Rhinolophus ferrumequinum: one gene and its partner. The protein of the gene in region 2 purifies or fractionates together with the protein of the main gene of each other region. This does not show direct contact. Links are inferred from orthologs where the notes say so. Each region holds a gene or a part of one and is shown on either strand. Other genes may lie near its edges.

The links. The genes of interacting proteins can lie anywhere in the genome.
Region 1: the proteins of PPP2R1A (region 2) and PPFIA1 purify together in Homo sapiens (affinity purification with mass spectrometry; 7 studies listed by BioGRID and IntAct, with this or other methods). This does not show direct contact. The link is inferred for Rhinolophus ferrumequinum from reciprocal best matches to the Homo sapiens genes PPP2R1A and PPFIA1.

What each region holds. Positions count from the first base shown.
Region 1 is NC_046294.1:3,076,665-3,080,410, forward strand, and holds the start of PPFIA1 (liprin-alpha-1), read right to left. Parts: upstream 2,290-3,746; 5' UTR 2,072-2,289; intron 808-2,071; coding exon 544-807; intron 1-543. UniProt on the Homo sapiens protein: May regulate the disassembly of focal adhesions. May localize receptor-like tyrosine phosphatases type 2A at specific sites on the plasma membrane, possibly regulating their interaction with the extracellular environment and their association with substrates.
Region 2 is NC_046298.1:46,566,990-46,570,735, forward strand, and holds the start of PPP2R1A (serine/threonine-protein phosphatase 2A 65 kDa regulatory subunit A alpha isoform), read left to right. Parts: upstream 1-1,355; 5' UTR 1,356-1,502; coding exon 1,503-1,580; intron 1,581-3,746. UniProt on the Homo sapiens protein: The PR65 subunit of protein phosphatase 2A serves as a scaffolding molecule to coordinate the assembly of the catalytic subunit and a variable regulatory B subunit.

The sequences.
Region 1 (3,746 bases), on a different chromosome or scaffold from region 2:
GGAGAAGGCTACAAAGGAATCCATCTCCAGTATTCTAGTCCCTAAACCAAATTTGATTTACAAAACACAGGTGTTCTGACGAAGGTAGGCTGTAAAAATATTTTTCCTGTGAAACCAATCCTATTTGTCCATTGAATGTCATTAGGAAACTGGAAATACAAGATACAATCCATGGGACATACACGTTTAGCACAAAATGCCTTAAGACAACAATCGAAAGGTACCACATAGCTGCTTCATGGCCCATTTTCAAAAACTTTGGAGAACTATCCCAAATCTAGGCAGTTCCTTCTGCTGCCTCGAAGAAAGGAACGCGAGTCATGAGGTGTTTTCACACAACTTTAGAGGACCACAGAGTTTGTTCTCCCTAAGGGTAATCCTCAGGACCTTCATGTATACGTGACTGACGTACAAATGCCAGAGCCATTTCACAAATGATTGTGCAAAATACTCATCTAAAATATCAACACCAAAGAAAACGACACCATAAAAAAAAATTAGTGGAAAAAAAAGTGTAAAGCTGCCCGTGAAAAGCATCCATACCTGTGGAAGTGCAGTGTTGAGCTGCCTCTGCAAGGAATCTCTTTCATGACCAACCTCGTGTAATTTCCCCTGGGTTAATGCCAGCGTTTCTTGAGTCTCTCTCAGCGTGTCAAGAAGACGGTCCCTCTCCTCCAGCATGGAGACCATCAACTGTTCAAAATGTGAATCTGCGTCTGGCTGCGAAGGGGAGCCGGACCCATGGCCCCCACTTCCTCCTGGGGGGCCTTCTGCTTCACTGATGGTCGGCATCACCTCGCACATCATCTTGAAACGAAAGACCCAGACTACAGTTATTAAGTGCCTCTCCCACAACTCTGCAAATTTACAGCCATCTGTAGCTAAAAAAAATGAAAGGCTGACGACCTCTTTATTCTCTTTATTCTCTGATGCCCTGAACATCAACAAGCTGGGAAAACATACACACGCAAATCCTAGGTGATGGAACATACAAGATAAAGGAAGACACAGACAGACAATAATTCAAGGAAGGGATAAAGACCAAAGACTACCCCTCGCATAAAGAACAAACCCTTGGTATTTTGTTTGCAGGGCTGTACTTCTAGTTGTTGAAAACAAGTGTGCTTCTGTAACCTATTTTTTTTTCCTATTTCCCGGTGGGGGAGAGAAAGTCAAAACACGTGCCACCCAATCACTTTTCAGGCAAAGCACAGAAGGCGCATACAGCCAGTAAAACTGACAAGTACAAAATCCATCAGGCATCTTACAGGAATGTGTGCAGTCAGCCCCTGGGAGGAACTGACGGCTCCCTGAAGGCTCGGGCTGGGTCTGGGGAGCCCTAAAAGGACTGGATTCGTTAAGGGTTGGGAGAGGAGTTTTTCAACGGCTGTAGTGGTTGGTCAGACAACCTAACTTATGTAAGTTAACAGAGCAAAAAAAAAAAAAAATTCCACAATGGAAACAGAGACGGTCGATACAGCCGTGGACGGCGAGGAAGGAAGGAAAAGTGAAAGATGAGATTTTGAGAGGCGACTAAGTGTCTCATCTATAACGATGGGGCGAGGAGCAAGGGAGCCGGTTCCTGAGGCTGCCGGCGGTATCCCGGGCTTGGCGGACCCCCGAGAGGGAGATGCCCGACACCGCGCACCGGATGGCGGTAACCTCCACCCACTCCCACCGCCCCTGGCGCTGCAGAGACCCCAGACCCCCGCCAGGATGGTGAGAACCACCTACAACAGCAGCGCTGCCTCGCTTGGGGCTTCCAGCGGCCACAGGTGCTTGTCCCCGGCGCCGGGGTCACCCGGGCGCCAGGGTCAGGGTTGGGGGCAGCGGGCGGTCCCAACAGCCCGTCCCTGAGGGCAGGGGCGCGTCGTCCGGGAGTCCCGGGCACTCGCAGAGCTCTCCCACCGGGCCCGGCGCCGCGGGCCTCGTCGCCAGCCCCCGCCCTCCACCCCCGGGGTGCACCCTTCACCCCGCGCTGACAGGAATCGGCCGCGCAGCCGCCGCGGGACGGGCCGGCGCCTGGGGCTCCGCTCCGCCCCGAGCCTGCCTCAGTGTCCCGCTGCCTTACCTTGCTCGCCGGCGGGAGCGGGCGAGAAGGCTCCGCGGCGGCTCGCGGGCGGCCGCTCGCTCCGGGCGAGCTTGGAGCCCGACGAAGGCAGCCCGCGCCCGCGCCCGCCGCCCGCCCCGCGCCCGCGGCCCCGGGCCCGCTGCCCCCAGTCACTAAGGCCGGCCCGCGGCCGGACACTGGCGGAGTGCAGGAGGAGCGGGCCCGGCTGCGCGACGCCGGCGTCAACGTGCCCGACGTCGGGCGCGACGGCACAGCGTCAGCGCCGAGCGCCGCCGACCCGCCCCGCCCCCCAGGAGGGGCGACGGGGAAAGGGCCGCGGCTGCCGACTGCGCAAGCGCCGCCTCCACAGGTGGGTGGGCTGCGCCTCCCGGGCGCCGATTGGATGGGCGCGGCCGGAGCCCCGCCCCTCCAGGCCCCACCTGTGTGCGGTCGCCTCGGCCCAGCAGTGGCTTCGGGCTCTGGTCCTCGTGCGCCGTCCGCATCTTCCACCTCTGGGCTTCCCCAAATTCTCCACCCACGGCGCGGGGACGCCAAAGCCGTTACTGAGCGTCTACTGTGCATCAGGTTCTGAGCCAGACACCTGCCCGACGTCACGTCTACACACCTTACGGGGGCGCGCGCCCGGGGGGAAGCCACCGGCTAGCGACAGGTCGGAGCCCGCGGTGTCACCTCCAGAGCCTCCTGGGAGCTGAGCCATGAGGACTCGGAAGGACGCGGTTTCTACGAAGACCCATTGGCCGAGCTCTACCTGCTGGGTTGGCAGAGACGGGCAGCGTTTGATGCTGGGGCTTCGGGGGCAGGGTCGAGAGGGCAGGCTTTGGAGCCAGGCACACCTGGTTCAACTGCCAGCAGATGCTTCTCCCTGCGATGTGTGCCTGGGCAACCGAGGGGAATTCGTCTGGGATTCACCTCATTTCTAGGGTGGGAAAATGATACAGACCTACCCCAGGGCTGGTAGCAAAAACAGAACATATGCAAAGAGCAGCTAGTCGAGAACCTGGCTGGGGAGGCGCTGTGTAGAATGGTAGTCGTTTTCATCCGACTCAAACATTTTTACGCATATTCACACTTAGGCAAGCTTTTGAAAACATCAGCTGTGTGCCACGTCCTGTGCTAGATGCCGCAGATACAGAGATTAACAAATACAGCTTTAATAAATAAAAACAGGTGCTCCGCCCTCCGGATTTGACTCCTGGAGCACAAACCTGTCACAAACCAGTCAGGGCACTGTTGCCAGGCACCAGTGGGCACTGTCCGGCGGTCCGTGGTGAGGCAGCCAGGAGCCCCTGAACTAATCGAGTTTAAGGAAAGGCTGCGTGGAAGGCTGGGTGAACCCTTTGGATTCCTTGATTCTCCACTGTGAGCCCAGCAAGTCCAGGTGCTACCTCTGATTGGCTTTCTCGCCTCCCGGAGTCCAGGACCACACCTTTTTCATTCATGTATTCATTCACTCTCGATTTATTGAGTGACTACACATCAATACGAATTTGCACCCCTGACCCAAGGTCTGAAATAGAGGAAAGTTTCCGGCTCTCCAAATATGTACCCGCTGAATTCATCCAGCTCGTATTTGCACCATGCTCCTAAAGTACCTGTCTCCTAAGAAATCGACAAAATACCAACATTTAGTTCAACAGGGTAGAATGTTCGTTTACATCTGAATGTCTGGAGGGCA
Region 2 (3,746 bases):
CATTTTGGCCCTGCTCTCTCCTTTTTAACAGGCTTGATATTCCAATTTTGGAATGAGTTAACTTGGACTTCACTACCCACAAGAGAAGTAGGGTCTAAAAAGTCCTGCGTGTCACGTAAAGTGAAAATTCAAAAATGAAGCAAGGCTGGCCCCAGTGACATGTATGTTTTTTTGCAAGAATAGGTGGTACCTGTCACCTTGGAGGAACATTTAATCTCCACACTGCAGCCAAAGCCACTAGTAGCAGGAACCCTAATCCTCTGCAATTCCCCTAAATGCAGGACTTGGGTTCACTGGTGGTTTAAACTGACACCTAATGGTGTCTCCTGGGGCCACCGTGGCTGTTTAGTTTCAGTGTCAGGTGTGCAGAAGTGAAATCAGATGTGGTTGTTCCCTTCACTGGTCAGATCTCAGATATCCGGACTCCTGCCAGTGGTCTAGCTGTTTAGGGTGCCACTAGGAAAACTATAGACTGGCAGATTAAAGACGACCCTCTCTGGTGGCTGTGAAGTGTTGAAACTAATTGCAGTGCTGAACTAATCGTCTGGGTTATCATTTCGACGTCCATGGTAAGGCCCTGTTCTTGAAAGTCTGGCCAGAATCAACCTCCTGATTAAGCCTGTTTCTGTGCAGAGGCTATCTGGGGGCTTGAGGGCCAAGCCTGAAGAGGCAGGGAAGGAGAGACATTGATGTAAAGATCTGACAATTGAAAAGGAAAAGCTCTCCAAGTAGGAGGTACAGTTTCGGCGAAGTCTTGTTGGAATGAAAAAGTATGATGTGCTCAGGCGGCTCTAATTTTCCAGGTCGGTGCAAATGTAACAAGGGGAGATGGGAGATGGAGGGCTCAAAAATGAGACGCGCAGGGTCTTGAAGACCAGCCTCAAGGGTTTAGTTTTTAATCCAGACATCAAGGCAAGTCGCCACCCTTTTCGGGGGCGTCGGCATAATAAGGCATAAATCAAAGACTCACACCCTCCTTCTCCAGCACAATGGCACGGATTCCGCCTTCCAGCCAACCTGGCCGGTATCTCACAAGCGAAAACCTGCAGACTGCCTCGGTCCCAAGACGTTATGCATTCCTTACGACGCACGCGCAGAAACTTTCTCCAGGACTCTCAGAAGGGCAGGCTTCACCTCGTCCAATCCTGTCCCTCATTGGCTACAAACAACTGCTCGTCTGGGCCGTTGTTAGTGGCGACGTAGGCGGGTACAATCTTGGTCGCTAAGATACCACGTACTTCCGTTACCTTCCTCCGTCGTCCTTGGCTCCGACAGGCCCTTCCACCAATGGCAAATGGGCAATAGGCGGGACTTCATTTGTTCGGACCAAAGAAACACGGGTCTGGCCGGGAGTAGGGCGGCCAATGACGGTGGGGCAACCCCTGTAGAGTGGCTCGGTCGCCCCCACGCTCGCCTTCCCTCCTCCTCTCGGACCTGCCCCTCCCTAGCCCCGAGTCAGCACCGTGCTAACCGCAGTCTGACAGGAACGGGACGCAGCCAAGATGGCGGCGGCCGACGGCGACGATTCCCTTTACCCCATCGCGGTGCTCATAGACGAGCTCCGCAACGAGGATGTTCAGGTTCGGAGGCCACGGGGGACTTGGGGAAACGGGAAGGGGGACCTGGGGGCACGAGCGGCCCTCGCGGAGTAAAGTCGCAGTTCGCTGGGAGTGGCGGAAGAGGGCGGCAGCCAATCAGCGTCCACCTCTCATCTCCCTGGGTCCCCAGACTCGGTGATACGGCGCCCGGGATTGGGTGTCGGCCCTCCAGAGGGCGGGAGCGAGGCCGAGGATCCCGGGCCTGCAAAGTGCGCGCGGCGGCCCAGGGTCTGGGAGGCCGCGGTCCGCGAGGGGGCCGGCGGGCTGGGTTAGGGAGACCGGGGATTCGGTGATTGGCGGTGACCCCTGAAGGGCCCCTTTGGGATGGGGAGGGCGCGTGAGTAGCTCCGAGTGGGGGAGGGGCCACCTGGTTTATTGGGACCCAGGTAGGATTCTTCCTTTTTGGGTTTCGGCGGCTGGGCCTCAGCGCTGTGGGGTAAACCCCAGATGGGGACTGAGAGGCGAAGGTTTCCTTTCCAATTCCTGCCCGCCGTCCCCCTCCAAATTTGGTGTAGCCCCGACAAAGGGGATCGAGGGCGAAAACACCCCACCCCAAGAGGGAATTCGTTAAATTTAGGAGTGAATTAAGAGGTGGAAACCCGCCCCGCTTCTGGGATCCTCTCATTGTCTGGGGGGTGGGCAGTTTACTAGACGGGCTGACACATTTCTGGTGAGTGGGATGGGGAGGCCCAGGGCCCTGAGCCCGGCTGGCAAGGGATTGAGAAGAGTTAGGACTCTGCGGTTTGCCCACCCCAGCTCCACTTCCCACCCGCCGCGTAACCTTGTGCAAATTACTTCACTGCTCTGGGCCTCTGTTTTCCATAAAATGTGGGCTAATAATAGTTCCGGCCTCTCTGCTGGGTGTTGGAGGAACTGAACGAGTTAATAATACAAGTAAAAGAGAACCATGTCTAGCGTGTTGTAATAGCCCAATAAATCTTAGCTGTAATTTTTGGGAGTGGTGACTGGAGAGGTCCCATCTCCCTTTGGGCCTCAATTTCCTTCTTTATAAAATTGAGCCGGTTTGCCCGGGGCCCAGCCTCTGAGGGTCTGGGTATATCACTCTGGTTCTGGAATCAGACAGGCTGCGGTTGTGCAGCTGGCTCTTCCGCTTGCTGATTGACATGAGCCACTTAGTTAAGGTCACCAAGACTTGGTTTCCTTTTTGTTTTAAACGGAGGTCATTATCTAGTTCATAGGACTGTTGTACGGACTCATCTGTTCAGTGAACACCTGCCACATAGCAGGTATGGTGCTGTGGATATAATGATGACACCAGTTTTTATACTAGACAGATGTCTCCTACAAGAGACAGATGTGAGACAGGTGACTACATTAACGCGTGTTAGATGTGATGGGAAGGAAATGGCAGGATATTGTGATAATGAGTCAGTAACTATTTTTGGAGCTTCTGCTCTGTGCAGGGCCCTGCTCTAGGCACAGTTACACAGCGGAACAAGACACAAAACTCCTGGCCTTGTGGAGCTTATGCTCTAGTGAGGGGAAACATAATAAACAAGACAATGAGTAAAATGTGTTGTATGTTCCATGAGGATAAGTGCTAAAGAGAAAAATGAAGAGGGGTGGGGGGTGCAATTGTAAAGAGTGGTCCAGGAAGGCCTTGCTGAGAGGTGATGTTTGAGCAAAGATCTGAAGGCCACAAGGGAAGAAGCCAGGAGGCTGTCTGGGCAGAGTACACAGCAGGCAGGAAGTGGGGTGGGAAAGATCGTTTTAAGTAGGCCAATCAGAGAGGGCTCCCTCTGAGGACACAGAGTTTAAGGTGAGACCAGAAGAAGGAGCCAGCTCCAGGAAGGTGGTGAAGAGCCCTCCAGGAAGAGAGAGCAGACAGGTAATGGCAGTTCTCAACCCATGGTGATTTTGCCCATCAGGAGACATTTGGTAATGTCTGGAGATGTTTTTGCTTGTCCCAACTGGGGAAATGTTACTGGCATCTAGTGGATAGAAGCTAGGAAAGCTGTTAAACCTCCTGCAATGCCCAGAACAGCCCACATAACAAAGATTTGTCTGCTCAAAATGTCCGTGAGATTGAGAGAAACCCTTGTGGGGAACTCTTGAGGCAAATTTAGTGGCTTAAAAGAATACTGATTTATTATCTTACAGTTCTGAGAGTCAGAAGTCTGACATGGG